Linked DNA regions of Oreochromis niloticus. The protein of the gene in region 1 purifies or fractionates together with the protein of each later gene. This does not show direct contact. Links are inferred from orthologs where the notes say so. Each region holds a gene or a part of one and is shown in the gene's direction. Other genes may lie near its edges.

Region 1 (8,090 bases):
ATTTAAGACACATTAAGTATAACACAGCTGTGTGATGAAGTTGGCCTTACATCAAACCTTTACAGAGATGCCATACTGATAAATCAAGCACAGTTTACACAAAGTGAGATTTTTAAAAAATGGCACATGTCAGCTGCAAGTTGCCTATTGTTCCTTTTTTCATTCTCATTCTTTAAAAATATGGCGACTACAGTCGATACATTTATTCCTCACAACAAACATAAACACGTCTCCAAACTTCACCGGTAATATCACCACTTGGCGCATTAACGCAGTGTGTGTGGGATAGAAATTCCTTCTCTTGTGATGTGTTGATGTAAACAGTGGGTGCTTTCCGAGGAGGGAGGGAAAAAAGAGAGACGTCTGTACTGGCAGATGGCTCGTTGCTGGGGGTGGTAGTTAGCACTGGTCACGGGTGGCCAGATAGCTGTCAATCTCAGTGCACAGCCACGGTGACGGGCAGCATGTTTTGGAGCAGTTCCCGCGACGACTGCGAGCGGGATGGATGAGAGCTCTCTGGCGCCACCCTCAAACTCAAGCCTTCAGCCTGAGCAGGGGCGACTCTGAAGCCTCTGTGGGGTGGCCGAATAGCTACAATGAACTGCCTCTTGAAAGTTTCGCTCAACACAATGTAGATGAAAGGGTTGATGCAACTATTGGCATAGCCCAGGCTGATGGCAATGTTGTAGACATACAGGAAAGCAAAGCTGGGCCGCTGTACTCCGAGATGGGCCAACTGGAGGATATAATAAGGTGCCCAGCATAAGAAGAAGGCCAGGCAAATGGCCACTGCCATGCGGGTCACCTTTCTTGTACGCACCCTGAGGCTGCGCTGGGGTAGTGGAGCAACTGTGGCTGACATATTTTGGAGAATCTTGAAGAAGACACTGCAGATGACCACTAAAGGGAGAGCAAAGCCCAAGAAGAACTGGTACAGGGTGAACCAGTATGTATCTGTGGCCGGGTTTGGGAGCAGGAGGGCGCAGCCGACCGAGCCGTCCTTGAGACGCATGAGTCCAGTGTACATCCAGACAGGAGTGATGGAGACCAGAGAAAACACCCACACCAGCGCCACTGCCGCCCCTGCCACGAAGGGGGTTCGAACGTGTTTGAAGCGGATGGGGTGGACTGTTGCCAAGTAGCGGTCCAGTGTCATGACAGTCAGGATGTACGTGCTGACGATCTGGCTGTTGGAATCAAGCGCCGTGATGACGGTGCACATGGTGCCACCGAAGCACCAGGAGCCATTGCCCACGAGCTGGTGAATGAGAAAAGGCATGCCAAGGAGAAAGAGGAGGTCTGCGATGGACAAGCTGAAGATAAATATGTCTGGCACTGATGGATGACAGCAGAACTTGGTCTTTTTCACAATGGTGTAAATGAGAATGCAGTTCCCAGTGATCCCAAAGAAACAAATAACACCAAAGATGCTGGGCATGAGCACATTGTTGTACTGCTCATGATCTGGTAGAAGGGAAAAAACATAATGTTCTCCATCAGCTTTCTTTCCTTATAACTTTTTTTTCATTCATTTGTTTTCAAAGTCTCAATAACTACTTTTTACATGAAAATGAACAACATAATATTCAATCTATGATGATAAATCTGCATGCATGTGCCCAATTCAACAGAAAAACGAGAAGAAGAAAATCCTACCTTTTTCCAGATTGTCAGGTGAGCTGAGGTATGAAGAAGATGAATTCATAATGTAGTCCTCCATCCAACCTCGAAGAATAATACGAATATACTCTAAAATAACTTATATATCAGTTTAAGGCAAAGAAGACAGATGAGCTTGAGAAAAAATGCATATTTTAAATATACATATACATACAAAAATACAGCTTACACTGTTGCTTTATGGCTTTGATAGCAGAGGTTCAGCCGCGCGCGCATGTTTTTGTTGTCCAAGACACTTCAGCAGGGCACGCGACAAATAAAATGCGCGCGCTCGCTTCAGCTCTGAGTCTGATATTTGGCAACAGCGAGATAAAGTACTCCGCAACTCGGAGACGCTCAAAAATCATCATTCTTATTTCTAATTTTGTGTCGTCACCCACTGAACAGCTGTGAGCTATACTCTCCGCCGCCAGTGTGAGTAATACTGGAAGTCATTCTTGAGTGAATACCTAATGGGCGATTTCCTCGCTTCATTCCACCTTATTTTCTTTTAAAAAGCGTTAGCCGTCCGACCACATAGCTTTATCATTCACAATGCCGTTATGATGGAGGTCACACGATAGGTTATCAGTTATAAACAGTCTAATTAATTGTCTAACTGAACAGTGTCACTCTCCATATTGTTTGCTGTGTAATATTTGGAAAAGATACGCGCATTTCTTATCTCAACTGTGCGGTATTAACATGTGACTAAGTATTTCTGGTAGCAACCCTTACGTGGTTAAAGACAGAAAGAACCGATTTTTGTTTAGTCCCACTAGGTGGCAGCATTGTCAAAGCCTGCTGTCACAGGCCAGGATTAAAAGCAGATGTGCAAGAAATGAAAACAGGAAAACAGAAGACCAAATATTCCAGCAGTTAGCTAAGTAAAGCTTTATGAGATGGCCTTTATGAGAAGCCATATGGATCCTTGAACATAATATTGAGAAAGTTGCATTCCTGCGTTCTCTAATGTGTCCCTTTCTCTTGTTTTTGTATATATAAATATTGAGTGTATATATTTCTCCTTTTAGCTATTGGGGCACAGTTGGTTTGGAGCACCCACAATTTCGTTGTACATGGACAATGACAATAAAGGGCTATTCTATTCTATTCTGTTCTATTCTATAGTAGTAGAATAGTCCAACTGTGTTTTGTCTAATTAATTACACTGCGGCTAAAATGGATGAATCTGTGTCCTTCATTTCCCATTTCAGACTAAATCAGATGGACATAAATGCATCTAAGTGAGAAATGTGTTATGTATGTGACTATAGTTAACAGTCATAGTAGTTAATTGTAGTTTGTAGGATAATGATAGATATGGGTGACAGTTTTGTGGCCGACTGCAGACAAGGGAATGAACTAGGGTGTGGCGTTGGTAAATGTTTAGTTTACAATGAACTGGTCATGTTCACTTCTCTCCCTTTACATATTTGGCGGTCCTTTTGTCTTGTCAGCTATGGTGTTGACATTCGGTTAGGGGGTTTAAAGTAAACTAGAAGATGACCAACCTACAAAGTTAAGTCAGGACACACAGCTGAAAAACTCAATAAGAGTCTGTGAATGAATTAATGCATAGCCATCCTGCAGCTTGCCTGTGACTGAAAGAGAGACTCAAGACCTGTGCTTTAGAAAAGGATCGGGGCCTAAATGAGACAACATCACAAGTTTTCAGGGCCATAAAGGTTATTCACTCATTGGAGCAGGTTATTTTCAAGATAACAGATCAACACTTACAAATCCAAAGCCTACTGACCAATCAGGTCTCTCTGAAAACACTGTAGTTATTCCCAGAAGAGCCCACAGATCAATGAGTTGTCAATGAGATGGTCTCAAATTTCTAGCTTTCCATTAGGATCAATAATAAGGGACTTTATCACTTGTTTTATTTTTTTGCTTCCTCCAAGCCCTTTATAGCCATTTCAACTCTACATGAGAGTCCTAAAGTATTGCAGGCTCGTTGACCTTATATGCCTTCTATTCACCACAATTATGATTTTTTTTGGCATCTCACGACCATTAGACACCACAGGATTTTAGCTGAAAGAATACGGATAAACATATTGTGCACACGACATGATGATGATGATGATAAATCTTTATCCGATTTTGGGAGTATTCTTTTGTTACACAACTGAAATGATGAATAATAATATATTAATGATGGTGATAATATTATCTGGCAGGTGCCTCTCTGTCAGATATATTGTGATAGCATGTGGCAGTGGAGCTGAATCAGTGTTAGAGAAGGTGGTCATCGTTTTTGCTGCATACACTGAAGGATTTCAGCTTCTTCGGGAAAGAGCCATCTCATCCTCTTCTTTTATACGGCTTCTTTGTTTCATCTTCCTATTTAGTCTGTTGTCAATGTGGATGCCCAGGTACTTTTAGTCCTCCACCACATCAACATTCATGTAACCATCCTCTTCTTTCTGAAGTCGATCACCTGTCTGGTCTTATTACCACTTACTACCACTTCATATCATCCTATAGTACTCTATACTCCTCTTCCGCCTGCCCATCACTAATACACCCAACCAGAATCAGATTATTGTCATCAGATTATTTCTATAAGTGCCATGACCTGCAGTTGTACTGAACGTCTGTGTACAAACTACACAGAAATGGGGACAGCAGACTCTCCTGTAGAGCTACTATACCTTCACCAAATCAGACAAAGCCCTGCCTAATCTCACAAACTGCAGCCTGGCTATCAGGTAGTCAGATGGATTACTTGTGGACAAGTTTACTCACATTTCCTATAGCTTTTCTTTCAGTAGCAGCGGCTAAATCCATTAAGTCTGATCTGTTCACAGGTAGTGATGTTAGTGATAGTACTGGCTTGCACAGTTGTCATCTTTTGCCAGCTTTCCTTCCTTTGGTTGCAGCTGAGTTTCTTTCTTTCAGCTCGGATTACATATTTTATTTCCTCTTTTTCTCTCCATGTTATAGTTTGTTCTTCTTTTGAGGATTATGAAAGCAGTTTGGTTCTGACCATGCTGTGGTGTCACTGCCTCTTGGATAACCTTTCAGAGTGCCGTTTTCACGTGATCAGATGGTGTAATTGCTGACGTTAGGTTTAGTTAAGCCAGATTATTTAAAAGTTATCTTGGCTAAATTGATCTCAGTGCCTTAGTCACGTGGTATAAATAGATGGTATTTAGCTGTTGATTAAAAAAAGAAACTGAACGATTTAGAGTGAGTGAATCTTAACAACTAATATGTCTCTGTGAAAAGTAATTTTCCTTAACACTGAAAAAGACTAGCAGGGAGGAGCTTACTTACACGGAGGCAGATCCTCCCAGTTCTTTGGAAGGAAGCGGAAATGAGCGTCATAAACCTTATGCTAGTGGCTAGTTTTTTAGGCTTCTAGGACGGGTGTAAGCGACACCACACGTACCTTGCTGGTTGCCTCTAGAGGAAGCAGGGAGTGGATAATTACACGACAGAGTTTTGCTGGTTTTTTATACAGTGGCACTATCGAAACGGAATATCTAAAGTGGTGAGTTTTCAGTACTCGTTGTGTCGGCACAAAAGTTGTGTACTGTTTTATTTGCTAACGCTGTTTTAGTGAAGTTCAGTAACGTTAGCTGGGCTAGCAGTAGCAATAACAGCTTGCGCTATGTTTAAAAAAAAAAAAAAAAAAAAAAAAAAAAAAAGCTGTTTTCTTCCTTTTCACATTTGCTAGCGTGAAACTAGCAACTAGGCCTCGGGTGCTAAGAAACACCCCACACTTATTTCAGACCAGCCACCAGCTTTAATTGATGTCGATGTCAGATGGTCCGGTGTGGAAGAATTGAGGTTCGGGTTTGATAACCATACTGCATCGCAGTTATTGTTGTCCGACCGTTAGCCGGCATGCTAGCTGTAGCGTTCTAGAACAGTGGGCGCAGTCTGTTGGCTGGAACGGAATCGATTCACTCGAGCCCGACTAAAAAAAAAGCAAAAAGCTGTATAAAACCATGCTCTGTTGCTCTTCATGCCCTTTTTGAAATGAAAAAATTCCACATAATTTTCACACTAATATGTGCGTGTGAGAAGGTTGTCATGTTTAAGGTTAGCTACAGTTTATATCTGCCTTTGGACTTCAAGCTTCCCTTTTTAATACTAAGCCTAATGCCACCTCTGACAGCGACGAGCCCTTTTGTTCTTTTGTTTTCAGTAACGCTGACTGGCAAATGAGTTGTTTGGCGTTTTGTTATTGTAAAAAGACACAAACGAAAGCGAATGTAGTAACGTTTTGGACTTGACGAGTCGGTGACGGCAATTCGTTTTCTCTAGAAAAATATGTCGTGTGTCGTTTGTTATTGCCTAACAATTAGGTTCTCAGAAATGAAAAGGAAATGCAGATTTTCAAAAGAGGAAAAAAGGATTTTTCATCCGTTTGGTGTTTCTCTGTGGTCATCTGGTGGGCTGTCAGGTTTAAAGGCCTTATTAGACGCACGGTTGTATTAGCGAAAGCCCATCAGGGCTGTACGGTAGCATATTAGCAGCAACTTAATTGGATAGCGTAACTTTATCTGTTTAACTAAATAGCCGTAGGTAGGTTTAGCCAGCGTATCACTGTCATCTCTGCTTAAGTAACCACCGTCTTATCTTTGATCGGGCCAGGTGGTTGGCTGTCTGGATGGGCTGTTGAAATTGACACTCGATGGAGTGAACTTTGTTCCCTTATCCTCTGATAATTTCTGGTTAGAGGTTTGCCACTGGTCATGAAATTGTGCTGTATTTTAGAGGCTGTTCAGAGGTCAAAGGGGATAAAGTTGAATCGTATGGCCAGTATGCATTTTTAGTGAAAATTTAAAGACTAAAAATGCAAAACAGACAATTTTAATTTTGCTTCTTGGTTTAACATTTGCCTGTCTACAGTTTTAGTTTTTCACGTTAGGTTTTTTGGTTTGTTTGTTTTGCAGGTACCTTTCTGCCACCTTTATGTGAGGTCTCAAACCTAAGGGAACGGGTCATTGACGGGAGGAGAGACGCAGAGAAAGCATTTGATCACAGAAGCCTGGATACGTGTTTTTAGTTTTTTTTCCCCCTCTTCAGTCACTGAAACGGCTGCAGATAAGCAGTTTTACAGCACGCTATAAGGACCATGGAGGCCATTGCCAAATACGATTTCAAAGCTACTGCTGATGATGAGCTTAGTTTCAAGCGTGGAGATGTCCTCAAGGTAAGTGACAAGTATTTGAGCATTAAATGTTCAAATTTGTCTGTTTTGCTCATAATTATGAAACTTTGGAAGGCGTATTCTTGCCCTAAGGTTTTGTTTTTATCCATTACTGGCACTGTTGAGTAAAAGTGCCATTAAAGTTAAATCTAGGCAGTAGTGGGCTATTATAGAAGGAAACAAAATCTAACACATCAGGTAGTTTGGGATGTAGCTCAATATCCAAAGTTCACCACTATCATGTGATTATATGCTTGGTAATTACATTTGATGGCATAACCTTTATGCTTAAATGTTTCTGCTATTTTTAAAATCATGAATTATTCAATTAAATTTACTTCTGTTGCACCAAATCACAACAACAGTTGCTTTAAGGCACTTTATATTGTAAGGTTAGAGCCCTCTAATGGTAGAGAAAACGCCAACAAAGAGACAATTATTGTAAATAGACATCATCAATGTGACTTTTGAGAAGTCACAATAAGAGATGAAAGCTGTAAAGGTTTCTTTTATGGACTAGTAATATAAACCTGTGGTCAAGTCTTCCTCATCACAGTAAATTGCTTTTATGGGCAAGGTCTGCTTTGCTTTGTGATATAGGTGGATGGAAATTAGGGGCAATAACATGCAACATGCCAAATTTTGTAGTTTACTTTTGGGGGTTGGGGGGGTTGTTTTTGTTTGAGGTTTTTTTTTTATTTTGTTTTTTTTATCATTTAGTTTTACTTTGCAGTCAGCTTTGGCGGACGAGTTGACGGTTCTGTCAGGGGAATGGGTGCTGTTTTCCCTGAAAAAGAGATTTGAGCAGAGAGTCTTGAAAAGACTTCTTATCACAGCAGGAGGGGGGAGGCCTAGAGGGAGAGAGAAAGTCGGATTAGGAAACACTGAGCTAAATATAAATTCTATTAAATTTGCATATGAGACGAGGAATTACTGAACTTTTTCACTAATTTCTACTGCTGGCTGTCTTGTCAAGCTTTTCACCAGATGGCTGAGTTCCATCCAAGAAATTAGTAGGAAATGTCTTTTTTTATTTTTTCTTTCAATTTACATAATTAAACATTAAATACATGCATTAGTGACTGGGAACGTCATGTACTTCTATAAAAGACACTTAGAAAAATCGAACACATACGGCAACATTTTATTTGGGGGGGGTTTTGTTTTTTCTTCTTCCTTTTTCTGTTGTAATTTTCAAACCTTAGATTGTACTTTTCTGTTCCTCATAATGCATAAAATATGTTATTTTTATCTTTGA
Region 2 (7,301 bases), on another chromosome or scaffold:
ATCATTTTAACGATATATATATCTATATATATATATAGTTACTAATGATAAAGAAGAAAACACACAACAAAATAGCTGCAAGGCCCTTAGCTATGTTCAATAAAGCAAAGATTCTCTTTCTGTTTTTATACACTGGCGGGGTGTGGTTTGCGGCTCTGCTGCATAAGAGGGGTGGTGCAGTGGGTTGAGGGGGGAGCACCATAGAGGCTGGCAGGGCAGGTAGGCTGGCACTGATTGAGTAACTTAAACAGTACCAGCCGCAAACCACACCTCGCCACAATGTATAAAAACTGTCATGATCCTGGGTCTTTGACCCAGTGTTTTGTGTTTTCTATTGTTGTGATATATTTTGGTTTTTGGTTCTGTTCTTCCTCAGTTTAATGTTTAGTCATTCTGTCTGTATTTTCCTCTGTGTAAAGTCCGGGTTTCTTAGTCTGTGTCTTTGCATGTGTGAGTTCCTGTTTTATTTTGTAGGGCTGCGTCTCTCGTTTTTGTTTCTGGTTTCGCTTCCCCTTGTCTCGTTATGTCCAATTACTCCCAGCCGTGTCTTCCTCCTGTTTCCCATCCCCTGATTGCCATGTGTGTTTTTAAGCCCTGTGTTTTCTGGTGTGCATGGCTGGTTTGTCTGCGTTATTTGGTGTTTTCTGGTCTGTGTATCTCCCTCCGTCATCCTGTGAATTTTCCCTGCAAGTTGCTTTCACTTGTGTTCAGGTTTTGTTGTTTAAGTTTAGTTCTCCCAGTATAGTGTGTTTCTAGTTCTGTTTCTCGCCGCTCTTTTCTTTGTTTGTTATCTCACCGTCACAATAAAGCTCACTCACTTCAGAAGCTACCTGCATCTTGGGTCCTTTAATAATTCACATGGCTTGCCCCGCAAACCGTAACAAAAACAGAAAGAAAGTCTTTGCTGTATTGAACATAGTCATGAATAACTAACAAAAAATGCAATTTCTCTTTCATTTTCTGTTCTCAGTGGCAATAGTATACACTGTTGTAGATTGGGAACCACTTTACATGCTTTACATCTGGCTGATGTTCACTAATACGTTCCTGTTTCTTTGGTCCAGAGCAATGTATATTCAGCTTTAAGAGCCAACAGGAGGCCATAGAGAGAGCAAATAACTCACACACAGTATGGCCTAGTGTCAGCAGGCTTTACAACAAGTGTGGACAAAGCTTTATCAGTGTCTGCAGCACTGGAGACTGGCACTGTCTGGTAAGTCCCTTAAAGTCCCTGTTTATGGTCCTAACAGCAAAGGGATGTTAAAGTTTGTGTAAATGAACATGTAATGTACTGGTTAACTATAATGTTAATCTTTGCTTATTTCTACTCAAACTGAAAACCAAATAATTAAATATTAGTAAATGGTTTATTTATTTGATTTATACCAGTGGTTCTTAACCTGGGTTCGATCGAACCCTACGGGTTCAGTGAGTCGGTCTCAGGGGTTTGGCAGAGCCTCCGCTGTGACATGCACACCTCATTTTGTGCACCAGTAAAAAACATATCTATGTCTTGAATTTGAAAAAAATCATATTTTATTTTTCACTTAAGAGGGGTTCAGTGAATGCGCATATGAAACTGGTGGGGTTCGGTACCTCCAATAAGGTTAAGAACCACTGCTTTATACCATGGATGGACTGTTGCAAAGGTTTGTATCTTTACTGAACACATGAAAGAACTGACAGTCAATAAAATGAGACCCCTCCCCCAGACTCCCTTTAGAGGGTATAAGCCTCAGCTGTTTCATTATTCATATGCTTTAATTATATTTATTGGATCTGTACTTTCTAACTTTTCTCATGTGTTGTCTCTGTCTGCTCAGTGGAGAATATGCTATTGCTGAATACTCTGAGGTGAAAACAGTGATGATCAAAGTGAAAGAAACCATCGGAGAAGAACTGGGAAAATCGAGTGCTCTGCACTTCCTGTCGCATGAGACCACATCACAATTCTCTAACACCCATACTGTTCACTCCAAGTATTCCAAATCTTCAACCCTATTTATAGTTTGGTATGTTTGTAGACTGCCAGTTCACCTTTGAACCTGTAGTTAAGGTTTCTTAGTCAGAAACTCAGTTATTCTCCACGGGAAAAGTACAAGAAACAGATATGATCTTCTGTCATGTGACTACATAGATGTGTCTGTAAACCTTGTCTGTTCTTTTCCTTACAGAAGGTTTTATGAGAGACACAAACAAATAAAACATCCACTCATCCAAAGTCATTTGTTTTTATTTGGGAGACTGGGCAGAAATACCATTCATTTACAGTATTCCTGATGTATGCAAATTGACTTTTTTGTTCTGACCCAATTTAATCTAATATAAATATTTGCTGCTGAGGAAGATGTTCATTTCATTTCAAATATAAAAAAAACAAATGTTTCCAGTACTACACAAGGTAATACTGACCTTGCCATTTACATTTTAGCACTAGTCATAGCAAGAATGTTATCATTGCATAGGTAGCAGCACTTGTTTTCTCATACTTTGTACTTTTGATAGAAATTCAGAATGAACAAAATAAAATACAACTTTTGTGAGCCTTTTATAAGAATGTGATTTCTTTATATCTGAAGAGGCTTTAAGGAAGTTGACCAAATGAACAATAGTGGAGAGATATGAAGGACATTTATGACAGGTCATTAATTCATTTGATTTGTCACATCTTCCAAGGATTGACTGTCCCAGCAAATTAATTCTGAGGTGAGACCATGTGATTAAGACTTATTTGAAAGCGTTTCTTCTCTAAAAAGAATATGGCAGCATGGCTTAGGTTTGCAAAATGCCATCTGATCAAGCCACAAGACTTCTGCAACAATTGTCTTCAGACAGACTAGACCAAAGTAAAGATTTTTTAGCCATAATGCACAGTGCTACATATGGTGAAGCCCAAACACAGCACAAATACCTCACATCAGCTGTCAAATGTAGTGGTGAAAAGGTGATGATTTGTTCTTGTTTTGCAGCCACAGGACCTGGCTCCTTCCATTTATTGAGTCAAGCATGTTATATGGGACCATATGCTTTAAACACATAAAGCATATTAAGGATTGTACATTAACATATTTTATTGTGAAAACTGTTGTCAGAACCATACTGAATTTAACCAGATAAACTTCTCCAGTCCAAACAACATTCCGATGTCACTGCTGTATATCCTGGTGGTGTGGATCAGTGAATGTATGTCTCTGGCTGATGATTGCTCCATTTCCTAGTCGGCAACCAGTCTTGTTAATGATCTCACTGAGGGGGTTCGGGCCCATGCAGAACAGCAGTGGACACAGAGCATCTCCTTGGTAGATCCCGCATTTGGTGCTGACTTTAGCTATTGACTTGAAGCTGGCCTCTGGTGTTGTACATTGAGTTCCCCGTGTATATATATATGTATATATATATACATATATATATATATGTGTGTGTGTTTGTGTGTGTGTGTGTTTTATGTGTGTGTAGAGAGAGAGAGAGAGAGATCGTATGCATAGTATGTAAACGGCTAACAAGCAGCCATTATAATTCGTCATACAATGAGAATAGGAGACAAATCAACAATCAGTGTCTGTCTACTGCTTACTAAGATTGCCAAGTGGCTAACAAACGTAAACAGAAATGTTATCTTGTTCAGGATACATGTCATACATAATACCTGCCATCATCCAATGACATATCTGCTTACCTGTATCTTTTGCTAGTTTCTCCTCCTCCTTTTCTCTCTTTTTTTGTACACTGAGCACCTGATGGCTTTAACCTTTTCTTGTCAATCTTCCATTGGTGTTCATCTTGCACTCCAGTATCAACACCCATCCCCAAACCCGAAAATCACCACAACATAACCTAACAGACCTACACTTTAGTGCAGAGATTCGCACAACCCAGGAAAAAATAATTAATACATAACAGGCTTGGATTGACAACATTATGAATGAAATGTGCTCCATTTGGAAGCACCCCCCCCCCCCCCCCCTTTGGACAGGTTGTGTGATCGACCTGAACAGCACAGCATCAGCAGCAAGCAGGCGCACTGAGGGCCATCGCGCTCACTTTTCGCATATGTGTGTGATAGAATTTAGAAAACACATCGGTGCAAATTATAAATCTATATCATAATGTATTCTGTTTTTGTGGTTGTTGGTTTGTTTTTATTTAGTTTTATTTTGCGAGCTGGTTATTAAATGCCGTACCAGCCAGCCAGAGAATCCCTCGCCCCTCCCTGTGCGGCAAGCAGCAGGCGCACCTCGAAAATGGAAGGCGCCCATGTCGCCCATATCAAAAACCGCCACTGTGTGAGGCCATCTGTCCACGAGACCAAGCTTAGGTTAAAATTGGATCATGCAACAAAACAACGATCCCAAAAAACACTATCAAATCTGCAGAATCCTTGAAAAAGAAAATGTCAATTTCAGACCTCAGCCGGACTAAAATGTTGTGGAACGAGCTGAAGAGACCGGTGTGTGGAAAAATAGCTGGAAACCTGAATGAAGTGATGCAACATTGCGAAGACGTTTGGGCCAAAATTCTTCCTGAACTATTCGAGAGATTGATAAAGTCTCTCACATAGGAATTTAAAGGTGTTTGTGCTAAAAGCGTTTCTACAAGCCTTTACAACGCTTCTGGACCTTATTTTGAAAAACACATCAGGCATCGATATTATTTTGAAAATTAATACCGGAAATCTCTGTGTTAAACAACCTGACTGCTCAAAATTCGTCCGGAGTGGAAAGTTTTTATCGTGGAATCAGGAAGTCCAGTAAAAGATTGTTGTGAGGTAATCCGCGGCTGGTATATACAGCAAAGCTGCAAAACCCTCTCTGTCTCTCACTGGACCTTTCAGGCATGCGGTAAGTTGGATATTAATGCTGTGCCAAGATGTGTTGTGTCTCATGGTAAGCAGAAACCAGTAACTCAGTTGTCGTGATTTGTCTGATTAACTCTTTTTTTTGACGGAGTTACTGTTAAAACAAACAAAACAAACAAAAGTAACAAGGGTGTTTTTCAAAGTCTGACCCATTTTCTGTGACATGTCCCACAAATGAAAGCACCTTGTGTTCCAGCAGTCATTATTGTTATTGTTATTATTATTATTATTGTTATTATTCAGAAGTTGGCAAAGAGTATAAAAATTGCTGTACCACACAGCAGAGACATGCACAGACATTTGCACTGTCGGCGGCTACAGTCACAGTCGTTATACCTCATGTTGGCACTCCAGACTAAAGCTAGAAAATGCAGCATGGAACACATGCAGGGGCCTGTCCTTCCAGCTTTCTGTTGCCTGAGGTATTTACTAAGCACAGTTATAGGCCATCTTCCTGATGCGCACATGGATGTTTGGTATTTCATGCTAGATAGTGGTTATGACTCCCACTAGTCCTCGGTCTCCTCCTTTCTGTTTACTGTATAGTCTCAAGGTGCTGGACTTGGGGTGAAACTCTGTAAGGAGCTTCCTTGTCAGTGCTTCCTATGGCCAACAGGGTATCTGACTACGGGTGTAGGCGTAGATTGCCCAGATCTTGTCCTTCCCAATCATCCGACTTCTCGGGACATTGCCTGACCCTCCGCAGGTATTTGGTGTTTGTCGCTTTCCTAGTAGTCTCTTCATGGTTCCCATTTGCCTGTGCGATTCCAGGTGCTTGTAGCTGTCCTCTGTGACTGCAGTGTTGTCTTCTGGTTGTGCGATCCCTCAGTTTTGACTATTAACAATTGCTGTAGTCGGTAGAGCAGGGCGATATGACCAAAAATATTTATCACGATATACATTTGAAATTTTGCGATAACAATATAACTGACGATATAATTGACACTAGGCAAAATACTTTACAACTCCACAACTTTAATAGTGCAAAAAAAAACCCATCAATGTATTTTCACTTAAACAAGCAGCTGTTTTTTATGTGCATTAAAGCTATATAAAAATTTAACAGTGCAAATGCAAATTCCTCGCTGACAGTTTAACAAAAAGGCATTTCCAGTGGAACTTGGCTGACATATCCTGAGCATAACCATGTATAATATCCACAAAACTTAAAAAGAGGTTATACACACACAATATGGTAATATTATGTTGAAGCACAGTACGTATCACTCGGCGAGGCTCCTGCCTACGATAGCCGTAATGCTCCGACAATCTATCAAGCAGTGCGGGTTTGTAGCTTAGCAAAGTCGTACTAAAACATTTGACAGATTTTTGAGCGCTGTGTATCACATTAAATCGTTTCGAGGTCAGTAAATGCAACCAGAATTCACACATAAGGCACACGGGATTATAAGGGGCACTGTCGATTTTCAGAAAAATCAAAGGATTGATTCTAAGTGTGCCGTATTTTCCAAAAAACACCGTAATAACGACGGCCCGCTAGCATGCTCTACCAAAAATAGTGCTTTGTTGTGTATCTGACAGATGAAAGCTAAACCAGTTCCACATCACTGAAGTTGCAGCATTTTTACAAACCAATTCTGGTTCATCCGTTTCATTCAACGATCCGCTTTCCCCCTTCTCATTCTCCGTCGCTGCCGTGCTTTTTCCGCCATGTGCGTATGAAATCAAAGGCACTTCGCATGCGCGTTTTACCCATATTCTATCGCGATATTTCATTTTCTTATCGTTGCCCAACATTATACCGGTATTACCGTGAACGGTATGATATGGCCCAGCCCTAGTAGTCGGTGTCCATAGCCAGTCTTGTCAGTGCCCTCGGTCAGGGGTCAGGCCTATGCAGGACAGTACTGGTGACAGGACATCTCCTTGGTAAATCCCGCACTTGATGGCGACTTGTGCTGTTGGCTTGAAGTTGGCCTCTAGTGTTGTTCGCGACATCCCCATCCTTTTACTGCTCTGCTCATATAGTGAGCCATATGTCTGTTTATCTTAGGCACTATTATGCCTGATAGGACATTACATGTGGTCCCGAGGCAGGTTATTGGCTGTTAGTTAGATGGAACCGGTCCCTTCTGGGGATCCTTGGGGATCAGAATTGAAACACAGACACAGCAGCTTGGCACCCTCTCTACCTCTGTGCCCCCATCAAACACAAGTGGTTATTGATGATGTGAGTCCTGGTAAGAGTAGTAGGATAATCCTACAGCACCATACTTCTTGCTCATATTTAGCCATATCTTGTAAAATGGATAGGGCAACGCTACAATGTGCAAATAGATGACACTAAAACAAACAGCAGAAGCAACCTAAGAGTTTCTCAAGGTAAAAAAAAAAATTGGATTTTAATCAGTTAGTCATCTAATGTCAACACGATAGAGGCGTGCTTTTCAGGCGTGCCTTCAGTTCTGCCGACAGAACTGAAGGC

What was found. The genes of interacting proteins can lie anywhere in the genome.
Region 2: the proteins of grb2b (region 1) and lrrk1 purify together in Homo sapiens (affinity purification with mass spectrometry; 4 studies listed by BioGRID and IntAct, with this or other methods). This does not show direct contact. The link is inferred for Oreochromis niloticus from reciprocal best matches to the Homo sapiens genes GRB2 and LRRK1.

What each region holds. Positions count from the first base shown.
Region 1 is NC_031969.2:8,810,655-8,818,744, forward strand, and holds the start of grb2b (growth factor receptor-bound protein 2b), read left to right. Parts: upstream 1-4,992; 5' UTR 4,993-5,164; intron 5,165-6,575; 5' UTR 6,576-6,757; coding exon 6,758-6,835; intron 6,836-8,090. Other genes in the region: mchr1b (melanin-concentrating hormone receptor 1), read right to left, coding at 437-1,464, 1,657-1,720. UniProt on the Homo sapiens protein: Non-enzymatic adapter protein that plays a pivotal role in precisely regulated signaling cascades from cell surface receptors to cellular responses, including signaling transduction and gene expression.
Region 2 is NC_031965.2:4,655,222-4,662,522, forward strand, and holds the start of lrrk1 (leucine-rich repeat serine/threonine-protein kinase 1), read left to right. Parts: upstream 1-4,272; 5' UTR 4,273-4,838; intron 4,839-5,401; exon of another isoform or gene 5,402-5,471; 5' UTR 5,472-5,561; intron 5,562-7,301.